Linked DNA regions of Anolis sagrei. The protein of the gene in region 1 purifies or fractionates together with the protein of each later gene. This does not show direct contact. Links are inferred from orthologs where the notes say so. Each region holds a gene or a part of one and is shown on either strand. Other genes may lie near its edges.

Region 1 (7,071 bases):
CCAAATAGTACCTCATCAAACTATAATTTCCATTATTCCGTAGCATTAAGCCCGTGATGTCAAACTGCATTCATTGTACAGTGCAGATCACGTGTGGGTAAACCCAGGCCCAGGGGATGGATGCGGCCCCTTGGGCTCTTTTCTCAGGTCCTCCTCTCTCTCACCATCCCATCCCATCCTATCCCTCCTTCCATCCATCCATCCATCCTTCCCTTCCACCCCTCCGTCCTTCTCTGCTTCCATCTTTCCTTTGTTCATTCTTTCCTTCCTCCTTCCCTCCCTCCCTTCCCTCCCTTTTTTTCTTCCATCCTTCCCTTCCATCATTTTGTTCTACTTCCTTCCCTCTTTCCTCCCTTCCTCTTTCTCCTTCCTTCCCTTTTGTCATTCTTTACTTCTATCTCTCCTTTATCCTTCCCTTCCTTCCTTCCATTCTTCTCTTCATCCCTTCCTTCTCTTTTTCCTTTCTCTCTTCCTTCTTTCCTTCCTTCCCTTTCACCGCTTCATCCTTCCTTCCCTCTTTCCTCCCTCCTTCCCTCTCTCCCTCTTTCTCCTTCCATCTTTCCTTCGTTCACTCTTTCCTTCCTCCTTACCTCCCTCCCCTCCCTCCCTCTTTTTCCTTCCATCCTTCCCTCCCACCATTTTGTTCTTCTTCCTTCCCTCTTTCCTCCCTTCCTCTCCTTCCTTCCTTCCTTCCTTTTTGTCATTCTTTCCTTCTATCTTTCCTTTATCCTTCCCTTCCTTCCTTCCATTCTCCTCTTCACCCCTTCCTTCTCTTTTTCCTTTCTCTCTTCCTGCTTTCCTTCCTTCCCTTTCACTGTTTCATCCTTCCTTCCCTCTTTCCTCCCTCCTTCCCTCTCTCCCTCTTTCTCCTTCCATCCTTCCCTTCCTCCCTTTCATCCTTCCTTCTTTTCCACCCTTTCGTCCTTCCCTCCCTTTTGTCTTTCTTCCATCCTTCTCTCTTTCTTTCCTCCTTACTTCCCTTCCCTCTCTCTTTCTCCTTCCATCCTTCTCTCTTTCCTTCCTCTTTCCTTCCATCACCAGGCAGCCAGTCCTCCTAGCAGGGAGTGCTAGAATGTGGAAGCCCAAGTTTGAAAGTTTGCCCATGTCTTGTGCAGATATACCCTTAGATACATGCAGTCATGCCGGCCACATGACCTTGGAGGTGTCTACAGACAACGCCTTGCTCTTCGGCTTAGAAATGGAGATGAGCACCACACCCCAGAGTTGGACATGACTGGACTTAATGTCAGGGGAAAACCTTTACCTTTACCGGAATCATAGTCCAATTCTCAAACCACTAGACAATACTAATGTGTGCTCTCTCTCTCTCTCTCTATATATATATATACACTCTGTGTGTGCGTGTGTGTGTATATATATATATATATATATATAGTCTCAAACAAACACGAAACTGTAGACATGAGTCATTTCTACACAGGGTTCAACAAGGTTCCCATACTTTGGAGCCCATTTGTTATCTCATGGGGCACTTGGATAGGTTCAAGATGAAAGAATTCACCAAAAATATGACCAAACGGGTTACACTATTGCTTTTAAAGCACCCAAAATGTCAGTCAGTAAGGATGTCTTTTTTAAAATAGCAAAATGCACAGAAATCAGGAAGCTAAAAGAAAAAGAAGGATTTGCTTTAGCAAATTTAAACAGCAAGCACATAAAAGGAGGCACATGTACAAGACACTGGCAAGCAAGATGATGATGTAAGAGTGAGAATGAGCACCAAAATTGGTGTATCTATGAAAGGGTTTTTTTTTAAATTCATTTGACTTATATCCTACTTTCCACCCAAATGGGGCACAAAGTTACCAAATTTTCCTTCAGTCTCCTTTCTGTCTTCCTCATTTCACATATAACCTACAATTTCCTCCCAAATGGGATTCAAAGTGTCAAATTTTCCTTCGAACTAGAATCTAGCATTACAGTAGCATAAAATTTGAGCATCCAAAGAAAAGAGACAAACAAAATAACCAAGGGTATGAAAACACAGGAGTATTCAAAAAAAAATCTCTAAAATATTCCAAAATTGTAGTTAAGACAATGACAGAAACTGATATTTCTCAAATACAGTTTCTTTCACAACATTAAAAATGCTGGGTATTAAACCATGAAGAGGCCACCAGTTTGTAACGGTTTGTAAAGGAGCCACCACTTTGTAAGGACTTACTAAATTGATAACACAACTAATGGCTTGTAATACTAAATTGGTCTTTCTTCAATGTGTAGCGTGGCTTAACTTGGACGTATTTGTAACAGAGACTTGACTTTAGAAGAAACTATAACAAGTTTATTGAAGTATAGAAGAAGCTTGATAGTTTCAATGTTTCTTAGCTCTTAGAAGCACATTTCTTCACAGGTTACAATTAATACATTTCATAAAACAACTCTTAAGAGAACTCTTCCTTTCACTAAACAGGTTTTAAACTTATTCTCCTTCAAAATGTGTTTCTTTCTTTAATAGATTACTTCAGGTACAAGCTTATCCTTTCCTTATGTTGTTTCTGTTGCAGTATAGATTCTTATTAGGGTTCTCTTACAGTCAGGAATTTCTTCCTCGTGTTTAGATGGAATCTCCTCTCCTGTAGTTTGAAGCCATTGTTTCGCGTCCTAGTCTCCAAGGAAGCAGAAAACAAGCTTGCTCCCTCCTCCCTGTGGCTTCCTCTCACATATTTATACATAGCTATCATATCTCAGCCTTCTCTTCTTCAGGATAAACATGCCCAGCTCCTTAAGCCACTCCTCATAGGGCTTGTTCTCCAGACCCTTGATCATTTTAGTCGCTCTCCTCTGGACACATTCCAGCTTGTCAATATCTCTCTTGAATTGCGGTGCCCAGAATTGGACACAATATTCCAGGTGCGGTCTAATTATTTATTTATTTATTTACTTACTTTGCTTGTATACCGCAGTTTCTCAGCCCGTAGGCGACTCAACGCGGTTCACAACAAGAGCAAAAGCCATCCAACAACATACAATATTAAAACCATTAACAGTATAAAATACAAACTAATGACATCTCAATAACAACACATTAACGTCTCGTAACTAAAATTAATGTATTTTTATTGATATCTAGTTTTATTTTGAAATTGACTGGTAGCTGCTGCATTTCCAACCCTCGGCTTATATTCGAGTCAATACATTTTCCCGAATATAAGCCTCGTCTTATATTCGGGTCAGCTTATACTCGAGTATATACGGTATGTTAATCTCATAAGCAAACATTACATTTGTACTTATATAGATTATTGAAAATAATAATAATTTGCTATCCCCTTCATGACTCGAGGCGGGGTACAACACTGTCAAAAAATACATATAAAACCCAATTATCACTGAGGAGGCATGCACTCTGCACATTCTCAGGAGTTATAATGCATAGATTAAAATACATAGGATACAACACAAAATAAAAAAATACTAGGTAAAGTTAGAATTATTAGTTTTAAAATGAACTGGGGGGTGGAAATGGTCCCCAGAAGCCAAAACAAAACCATAAAGAGATGAACCATGGAGAGGACAGGGAAAAGCAAAGGTAGAGAGAGGGGAACAGTACAGGTGTATCATGCAGAAAGGGGGGAAGGGGGCGCAGTGCGCATGCGCGGGGCTCTCCGTTCGCTCCCTTCTTTGCCCCCGCCCACCCCTGAAGGCAAGCCCCTGGGAGAGAAAAGTCCGTTAAGGCTGGAGCCGTTAAGGGTTTACCTGAGCCGCGCGCGCAGCTTGGCTTTCCCTCTGCCCAGGCGTTCTAAATAGGAGCGCCTCGCGCGCGCACGCTTTGCTTGCTTGCTTGCTTGCTTCCCTCGCGCCTCCGTGTGCGCACGCGCGGGCCAGCCGCTGCTCTCGGGTTGCTTGCTGCGGCTCAGAACTCTCTCTTTTTTTTTCTTCTTTCCCCTGGCTTTCGCTTGTCCTCATCTTCTCCCTCTTGCGCATGCGCACAAGCAAGGAGCCGCTACTGTTGCTTGGATGCTTCTCCCTTCATTTTCCCTTTGAAAACAAAGGGGAGGGGGGCGGCCAAAAGAGGGTCCACGGACGCGCTAGGGATGCTGGGAATTGTAGTTCTTACTCTCTGAGGGGGCAATTGAGGATACTGTATTAATCCTGGCCAAGGAAATGCTGTAAATGAAGAGTGGTGTTGCCATAAACAGACTTATTTATTTATTTATTTATTTTATTTGGTACGCTTGTATACCGCCAATATCTCAGCCTATGCGGCGACTCATTGCGGTTTACAACATGTTAAAATATACAATTCACTTTAAGCATATAGATTAAAATTAAGAATACATACAAAACATACATAGTATTGGGCCACCAATACAGATCGGATCTCATCGTTAAAATCGTAGTCCAATTCGTTATCCTTGATTGCTAGTCCATGGTCAAACAACATCACATCAAAAATCAATTGAAGACTTGCACAAACATCCAAGTTTTTAGTTTTTTCCGAAATGCCATTAGCGAGGTGGCTGATCTTAGTTCAGTAGGGAGGGCATTCCAAAGCCGGGGGGCCACCACAGAAAAGGCCCTATCTCTCGTTCCCACAAGCCGCACCTGTGAAGCAGGTGGGATAGAGAGAAGGGCTTCTCCTGAAGATCTTAGGGTCCTGGTGGGCTGATAGGCCGAGATACGTTCGGATAGGTATGTAGGGCCAGAACCGTTTAGGGCTTTAAAGGTCAAAACCAGCACTTTGAATTGGGCTCGGTAGCTGATCGGCAGCCAGTGGAGCTGGTACAGCAGAGGAGTTGTATGCTCCCTGCGCCCAGCCCCTGTTAATACCATGGCTGCCGCCCGTTGGACTAATTGGAGCTTCCGGGCCGTCTTCAAAGGCAACCCCACGTAGAGAGCGTTGCAGTAATCAAGACGGGATGTAACCAGAGCGTGGACTACCGTGGCCAAGTCAGACTTCCCAAGGTACGGTCGCAGTTGGCGCACGAGTCTTAACTGTGCGAATGCTCCCCTGGTCACCGCCGAAACCTGGGGCTCCAGGCTCAGCGATGAGTCCAGGATCACACCCAAACTGCGAACCTGTGTCTTCAGGGGGAGTGCGACCCCGTCTAACACAGGCTGTAACCCTATACCCTGTTCGGCCTTGCGACTGACCAGGAGCACCTCTGTCTTGTCTGGATTCAATTTCAATTTGTTCGCCCCCATCCAGACCGTCACAGCGGCCAAGCACCGGTTCAGGACTTCGACAGCCTCCTTAGTAGCAGGTGGAAAGGAGTGACAGAGTTGGACATCATCTGCGTACAGATGACACCGCACCCCGAAACTCCGGATGATCTCGCCCAGCGGCTTCATGTAGATGTTAAACAACATGGGGGACAGGATTGAACCCTGAGGAACCCCACAAGACAAAGGTTGTGGGGTAGAGCAGGAGTCCCCTGTTAATGAGAAAACACAAACAGTTATTCAAAGCACCTACAAAAAATAGATGGCCTTTATCTAACCTATAGGCTTGGGCAATCCATGGTTCTAAAGTACTTACAAAACTAAAGTTCTGGTGGTGAAAATTTCAGAACTCTAACAAAACTCTCAAAATTTCATAATAAATGGCAGTTCCTAATTGGTTCTGTCATTAAAATCACCAATAATGAAATAATAATTAAATTTTGAAAGTTTTGTTAGAGTTCTGAAATTTTTCACCACCAGAACTTTAGTTTTGTAAGTACTTTAGAACCATTTAGAACCATGGATTGCCCAAGCCTACAACCTATAAAAGTAAATAAAAATGTTTGGGTTGTTGTAGGTTTTGCTACATGTTCTAGAGGCATTTTCTCCTGACGTTCCGCCTGCATCTGTGGCAAGCATCCTCAGAGGTAGTGAGTTCTGTTGGAAGTAGGAAAATGGGTTTATATATCTGTGGAAAGACCAGGGTGGGACAAAGGACTCTTGTCTGCTGGAGCTAGGTGTGAATGTTTCAACTGACCACCTTGATTAGCATTTAATGGATTGGAAGTGCCTGGGGGAATCTTTCTTTGAGAGGTGATTTGATATATATATCTGTGGAATGACCAGGGTGGGACAAAGGACTCTTGTCTGCTGGAGCTAGGTGTGAATGTTTCAACTGACCACCTTGATTAGCATTTAATGGCTTGGAAGTGCCTGGGGGAATCTTTCTTTGAGAGGTGATTTGATATATATATCTGTGGAATGACCAGGGTGGGACAAAGGACTCTTGTCTGCTGGAGCTAGGTGTGAATGTTTCAACTGACCACCTTGATTAGCATTTAATGGATTGGAAGTGCCTGGGGGAATCTTTCTTTGAGAGGTGATTTGATATATATATCTGTGGAATGACCAGGGTGGGACAAAGGACTCTTGTCTGCTGGAGCTAGGTGTGAATGTTTCAACTGACCACCTTGATTAGCATTTAATGGATTGGAAGTGCCTGGGGGAATCTTTCTTTGAGAGGTGATTTGATATATATATCTGTGGAATGACCAGGGTGGGACAAAGGACTCTTGTCTGCTGGAGCTAGGTGTGAATGTTTCAACTGACCACCTTGATTAGCATTTAATGGATTGGAAGTGCCTGGGGGAATCTTTCTTTGAGAGGTGATTTGATATATATATCTGTGGAATGACCAGGGTGGGACAAAGGACTCTTGTCTGCTGGAGCTAGGTGTGAATGTTTCAACTGACCACCTTGATTAGCATTTAATGGCTTGGAAGTGCCTGGGGGAATCTTTCTTTGAGAGGTGATTTGATATATATATATCTGTGGAATGACCAGGGTGGGACAAAGGACTCTTGTCTGCTGGAGCTAGGTGTGAATGTTTCAACTGACCACCTTGATTAGCATTTAATGGCTTGGAAGTGCCTGGGGGAATCTTTCTTTGAGAGGTGATTTGATATATATATCTGTGGAATGACCAGGGTGGGACAAAGAACTCTTGTCTGCTGGAGCTAGGTGTGACTGTTTCAACTGACCACCAAGAGTCCTTTGTCCCACCCTGGTCATTCCACAGATATATATATATATATATATATATATATATATATATATATATATATATCTGTGGAATGACCAGGGTGGGACAAAGGACTCTTGTCT
Region 2 (7,071 bases), on another chromosome or scaffold:
GGAATTGTATGTGTTTTAAGGCATTGAATAATTGCCTCTATGTAAGCTGCCTTGAGTCCCATTCGGGGTACAGAAAGCGGGTTATAAATAGAGGAAATTATTATTATTATTATTATTATTATTATTGACAAACTAATAATAATAATAATAATAATAATAATAATAGACAAAGAAAAACATGGCTGTGGCTTACAAATGGAACTTTGAAAAAGGAGACGGAGGGCCTGATTCTGGCAGCCCAAGAACAACCCATTAGAACAAATGCCATCAAAGCCAGAATTGAAAAGTCAGCAACAGATCCCAAATGTAGACTTTGCAAGGAAGGAAGCAGATGAAACAACTGGCTTATGTGAGTCCACACTGCCATACATTCCAGTTCAAAGCAGATAAAAACGGATTTTATCCAGCTGTGTGGAAGGGGCCTGAGAAAAAGATATGGTTTTTTTTCTGATGCAAGTTAAGCTACAGTACTCACAGTGACTTGTGGATACATCAACTCAGGTTTGTTTTTTTTTGGGGGGGGGGGGGGGGGCTTCCACACAGTTGAATAAAATCCCACATTATCTGCTTTGAACTGGAATATATGGTAGTGTGGACTCAAATAACCCAGTTCAAAGTAGATATTGTGGGATTTTCTGCCTTGCTATTCTGGGTTATATGACTGTGTTGAAGGGCCCCCAGAATATCAAGGCAGAAAACCCCACAATATTTAATTTGAACTAGATTATCTGTGTCCACACTGACATGTATTCCAGTTCAAAGCAGGAAAAGTGGAGTTTTATTCAGCTGTGTGGAAGGGGCCTGGGTGGCTTTTGTTGACTAAAATTTCCAGCCTTATACCTGAGTATATAGAGTATAAACTTGAGGATTGTATAGGATGGAGCCATAGGGATGGAAGAGGAAAGCAAAGTATTTATGAAAAGGGAAGTAATGGCCAAAATAGAGAACTAAGCAATGCAATACACACAGAGAGAGGTCATTCTTAATTTCAGAACGGGAACAGCTGCATCTTCCCAAAGACGATTTCCATATCGTGGAATATATACGTCTTGGCAAGCATCCCGGGGGGTCAAAGCAGCACTGAGACAGACAGCCTTTCAAGGCTCCCTTCTTCTTCCTTTCCAGCATTTCAGCAGTTGGTGGCCATCAATATTAAAGCAACTGCAAGGTGCACCGGAGGCAGTGCTATCCGACCGGAGTTATGGCTGCTGTCGGGCATGGGCCTAGCTCTCTCTCACAGCCACAGAAAGAGCAAAACGGTACCCCTGAATGTCGCCTAGAGTTTCTGCTGTATCTGCAGGTTTTTAGCTGAGTTATCGACAAGCCGGGGAGAAGCCAGCTAATGCCCGACCACCAACATCCATGTAACCACTTCCTCCCAAACCAGCCTTGCTTTAAGTGTCTCCCATGAAGGCCAAAGCAGCCAAAATATACTTCCTCACATTTGGATAATAAGCCCACAGCACAATCTTTAATGCCCCAGCAAAGAGGCGGATGGCGGGGGGGGGGGGGGGATGGAAATGTTAAACTAAGGACAGGAACTAGTAGGAAGGACCTGGAGAAGAGTTAAGAATTGCAAAAGTAGGGTAAATCAACGGGGTAGGGCAGGGATTAGCAGATCTGAAGGAAAGGGAAAATACTGGGACCCCAAAATGAGGGTGCAACTACATTGTAAATTAAATACAGTTTGACATCACTATTTCCTGCCCTGGCTCAATGGTATAGACTCCTGGGGGAGATACCAGTACTCTTAGGCACAGAAAGGCTTGCAAAACCACAACTCCCATGATTCCGTAGCATTGAGTCATGGCAGCAAAAGTAATGTCAGACTACATTCCTTCTATAGCGCACACTGAGATGTGGTTTGGAGAGGTACCAGTACTCTTGGGCACAGAAAGGCTTGCAAAACTACAACTCCCATGATTCCGTAGCACTGAGTCATGGCAGTAAAAGTAATGTCAGACTGCATTCCTTCTATAATGTTGAGCTTGTCACCTGGGGAAAATGTGTCCTGAAGGCCAAAATTAAAAATGAAAGCGAGCTAAAACAGATAATAGAATCATAGAATAATAGAGGTTGAAGAGTCCTCGTGGGCCATCCAGTCCAACCCCCTACCAAGAAGCAGGAAAATTACATTCAAAGCACTCCTGGCAGATGACAATTCAGCCTCTGCTGAAAAACCACCAAAGGAGGAGCCTCCACCACACTCTGGGGCAGAGAGTTCTACTGCTGAACAGCTCTCACAATCAGGAAGTTCTCCCTAATGTTCAGGTGGAATCTCCTTTCTTGTAGTTTGAAGCCATTGTTCCGCATCCTAGTCTCCAGGGCTGCAGAAAACAAGCTTGCCCCCTCCTCTCTATGACATCCCCTCACATACATGGCTATCATGTCTCCTCTCAGTCTTCTCTTCTTCAGGCTAAACATGCCCAGCTCTTTAAGCCGCTCCCCATAGGGCTTTTTTCTGTTGATCATGGGGGTTCTGTGTAGGAAGTTTGACCCAATTCTATCGTTGGTGGGTTTCAGATTGCTCTTTGATTGTAGGTGAACTATACATCCCAGCAACTACAACTCCTAAATGTCAAGATCTACTTTCCCCAAACTCCACCACTATTCACATTTGGACATAATGAGTATTCGTGCCAAGTTTGGTCCAGATCCATCATTGTTTGAGTCCACAGTGCTCTCTGGATGGAGGTGAACTACAACTCCAAAACTCAAGGTCAATGCCCAGTGAATGAAAATGCATCCTGTATAACAGATATTTACATTACGATGCATAACAGTAGCAGAATTTAGTTATGAAGTAGCAACAAAAATAATTTTATGGTTGGGGGTCACCACCACATGAGGCTCTGTATTAAAAAGGGAGGCTTAGAAACACCGCTGTAGAAAGAATGCAGTTAACGGCACGCCATGCAATCATGCCGGCCCACATGACCTTGGAGATGTCTATGGACAACGCTGGCTCTTCAGATTGGAAATGGAGATGAGCACCAATTCCCAGAGTCGGACACGACTGGACTTAATGTCAGGGGAAAACCTTTACCTTACCACTTCACCATCTGGAGCAGGCATCCTCAAATTACAGCCCTCCAGCTGTTTGGGCCTTCAAGTCCCAGAATTCCTGACAACTGAAGAAGCTCGTTAGGTGTATTGTCAAAGGCTTTCATGGCCAGAATCACTGAGTTGTTGTGGGTTTTTCGGGTTATATGACCATGTTGTAGAAGCATTCTCGCCTAGCGTTTTGCCTGCATCTGTGGCAAGCATTGTCAGAGGTTGTGAGGACCTCTGCTGATGCTTGCCACAGATGCAAATGAAACATCAGGAGAGAATGCCTCTAGAACATGGCCATACATCCCAAAAGATCTACAACAAACCTCTGCGGATGTTTGCGACAGATACAGGCGAAACGTCAGGAGAGAATGCTTCTAGAACATGGTCATACAACCTGAAAAAATTACAACAAACCTCTGAGGATGCTTGCCACAGATGCAGGCGAAACGTCAGGAGAGAATGCTTCTAAAACATGGCTGTACAACCCGAAAAACCTACAACAAACCTCTGAGGATGCTTGCCACAGATGCAGATGAAACATCAGGAGAGAATGCTTCTAGGACACAGCCATACAACCTGAAAAACCTACAACAAACCTCTGAGGATGCTTTCCATAGATGCAGGCGAAACGTCAGGAGAGAATGCTTCTAGAACATGGCCATACAACCTTGACAACCTACAACAACCCTCTGGGGGTGCTTGCCATAGATGCAGGCAAAATGTCAGGAGAGAATGCTTCTAGAACACAGCCATACAACCTTGACAACCTACAACAACCCTCTGCGAATGCTTGCCATAGATGCAGGCGAAATGTCAGGAGAGAATGCTTCTAGAACATGGCCATACAACCTTAAAAACCTACAACCACCAAGCTTGTTAGGGCTTCTGGGAGTTGGAGGCCCAAAAAGCTGGAGGGCCGCAGTTTGAGGATGCCTGATTCTGTAGCAATGTGGGGTACAAATTTGATGAGGCACGGTATAGAAAGGCCTGGCCAAACTACATCTCCCATGAATGAGTCCACATCCTGGCTGGAGGAGGGCTACGAAAGAGTTCAAAGGAGTGCCAAACTTGCAGCGTAAGGCAAGGAGGACCTTGGTTCCCGGGAGTGGGGGGGGGGGGGGGGCTGCACAGACAGGCGAAAAGGCGTGCCTTTGCAAGCCACCCAAGAGGCAGGCCAGGGCTGTCAGAGCTGCGCCAAGGAGAGAAAGGCCACGAGGCCGGGCGCGCGCCGCAAAGGCAGCCAGGCCCGGGAGGCACCACTCACCGATCACCTCCTGCAGCTCATAGGCGTCCCGCAGGATGGGCCAGACGATTGCCGCTGCTGGGGCCGGGCTGGCCGGAGGAGCAGCAGCAGCAGCAGCAACTGGAGCAGCAACAGTGGGCTCTGGCTGAGGCTGTGGCTGTAGCTGAGGCTCCTGCTCTGCCTCCTCCTGCTGCTGCTGCTGCTGGACGTGGAGAGGCGAGTCGCCCGGCTCCGCCATGATGCAGCAGGAGCAGCAGCAACGGCGCCTCTAGTGCCGGCAAGCAAGAGAGAAAGCGAGCGTCCTTCCTCCTTCCTCCTCCTCCTCCTTTAAACTTCCCTGCCGGCGGCACCACCTTTAACCCGCCTCATCTGCCTGCCTCCGCCGCGCATCCGCTAAGGGGCGGAGGCTGGGCCGCCATCCGGAGGAGGAGGAGGAGGAGGAGGAGGAGGAGCCGCTCAAGCCTCCCAATGCAGCACGGGCCCGCTCTCCCTCCCTGCCAGGGCTCCAGGCGAGGGAATCCTCGGGGTCCAGCACTCTAGTCGAGGCCACACACCTTGTCCAACCACAGCGCCTAGTACCACCCCATAGCATTCAGCCCTCAGTGGCGCAATGGGTTCAATAGGTCAGAGCAGGGGTCCCTAAACTTTTTGAACAGAGGAGAGGGCCGGGTCACAGTCCCGCAAACTGTTGGAGGCCCGGATTATAATTTGAAAAAAACGTGAATGAATTCCTATGCACACTGCACATCTCTTATTTGCAGTGCAACCCCCCCCCCCCCCCCAAATCGAAAAGCAAAAACCCACACTTCTATATAAATGAAATTGTCATGTTCGTTTGTGGGATTAACAGAACTCAAAAACCACTGGACGATTTGACAACAAATTTGGACACAAGACACCTAACAACCCAATGTATGTCCTTCACTCAAAAAATTGATTTTGCCAGTTGAGAGTTGTAGTTGCTGGGATTTATAGTTAAACTGCAATCACAGAGCATTTTGAACCCCACCAATGATGGAATTGAACCAAACTTGGCACACATTTCTCCCATGACCAACTGAAAATACTGGAAGGGTTTGGTGGGCAGTGTCCTTTCGTTTTGGAGTTGTAGTTCACCTACATTCAGAGATCATTGTGGACTCAAACAATGATGGATCTGGATCAAACTTGGCACAAATACTCAATATGCCCAAATTTGAACACTGGTGGAGTTTGGGGAAAAAAGAATCCTGACATTTGGGAGTTGTCGTTGCTGGGATTTATAGTTCACCTACAATCAAAGAGCATTCTGAACCCCATCAACGATGGAATTGAACCAAACTTGGCACACAGTTCTCCCATGACCAACAGAAAATACTGGAAGGGTTTGGTGGGCAGTGTCCTTTCGTTTTGGAGTTGTGGTTCACCTACATTCAGAGATCATTGTGGACTCAATGATAGATCTGGACCAAACTTGGCACTGATACTCAATATGTCCAAATGTGAACACTGGTGGCATTTGGGGGTTGTATTTGCTGGGATTTATAGTTCAATCAAAGAGCATTCTGAACTCCACCAATGATGGAATTGAACCAGTCTTGGTACACAGAACTCCCATGAACAACAGAAAATACTGGGTTTAGTGGGCGTTGACCTTGAGTTTTGGAGTTGTAGTTCACCTGCCTTCACCACGGCAGCGTTCCCTGGCCACGCCCACCCAGCACCGCTCCGTCAATTGCGGACACCCTCTGCTCCAGCCGCTCTGCTTTGCAGAGGACCCAACTGGGAGGCTGATAATGTTTTAATGTGTATAGTGCTGATATTTTAATCATGTTATGAAGTGACATTGTGTTGTTATTGTATATTCTTTGTATGTTAACACATGTTGTGAACCGGTCCGAATCCCTCTTTGAAGGTGAGAAGGTCGGTATATAAAACCTCGAAATAAATAAATAAATAAATTCTCCCTCCCACACAGGCAAAGCGGCCGGAGCAGAGGGTGTCCGCAATTGACAGAGCGGCGCCAGGTGAGCGTGGCCAGGCCAGGGCGCACGGGCCGGAGAAATGACCTCGGCGGACTGCATACAGTCTGCGGGCCGTAGTTTGGGGACCCCTGGGTCAGAGGTTCGAATCCGGGGAGAGCGTGGAGGAGCTCCCTCTGTCAGCTCCAGCTCCCCATGTGGAGACATGAGAGAAGCCTCCCCTCCCACAAGGATGGGAAAATATCAAAACTTATCCCTGGTAGATAGCTACCATACAATTGCACTAGAGGACAGATATTCCTAGTTTTTTAGTCAAATCCTTGCAAAAATTAAACCCACAGGCGGGTTTTCATACCAGCCCATCAGATTGGTTTTGTGTGGATCATGGAAATATTATTGGGTTGCAAGCCTTTTTTATTATCTATGGCAGGGGTCCTCAAACTATGGCCCGGGGGACGGATACGGCCCTCCAAGGTCATTTACCCAGCCCTCGGTCAGGGTCAGCCTAAGTCTAAAATGACTTGAAAGCACACAGCAACAATCCTATCTCGTCAGCCAAAAGCAGGGCCACACTTCCCATTGAAATACGAATAAGTTTATATTGTTAAAATTGTTCTTCATTTGAATTACTGTATCGTTTTTAAGTGGTTTTTTGCACTACAAATAAGATATGTGCCGTGTGCATAGGAATTCATTCATGATTTTTTCAAATTATAATCTGGCCCTTCAACAGTTTGAGGGATTGTGACCCGGCCCTCTGTTTAAAAAGTTTGAGGACCCCTGGTCTATTGCATTGCATTTCTGAAGGCTTGT

Evidence for each region.
Region 2: the proteins of SLC12A6 (region 1) and STK39 purify together in Homo sapiens (affinity purification with mass spectrometry; 3 studies listed by BioGRID and IntAct, with this or other methods). This does not show direct contact. The link is inferred for Anolis sagrei from reciprocal best matches to the Homo sapiens genes SLC12A6 and STK39.

What each region holds. Positions count from the first base shown.
Region 1 is NC_090026.1:13,086,306-13,093,376, forward strand, and holds the start of SLC12A6 (solute carrier family 12 member 6), read right to left. Parts: upstream 3,997-7,071; 5' UTR 3,721-3,996; intron 1-3,720.
Region 2 is NC_090021.1:195,637,158-195,644,228, reverse strand, and holds the start of STK39 (STE20/SPS1-related proline-alanine-rich protein kinase), read right to left. Parts: upstream 4,720-7,071; 5' UTR 4,536-4,719; coding exon 4,319-4,535; intron 1-4,318. UniProt on the Homo sapiens protein: Effector serine/threonine-protein kinase component of the WNK-SPAK/OSR1 kinase cascade, which is involved in various processes, such as ion transport, response to hypertonic stress and blood pressure.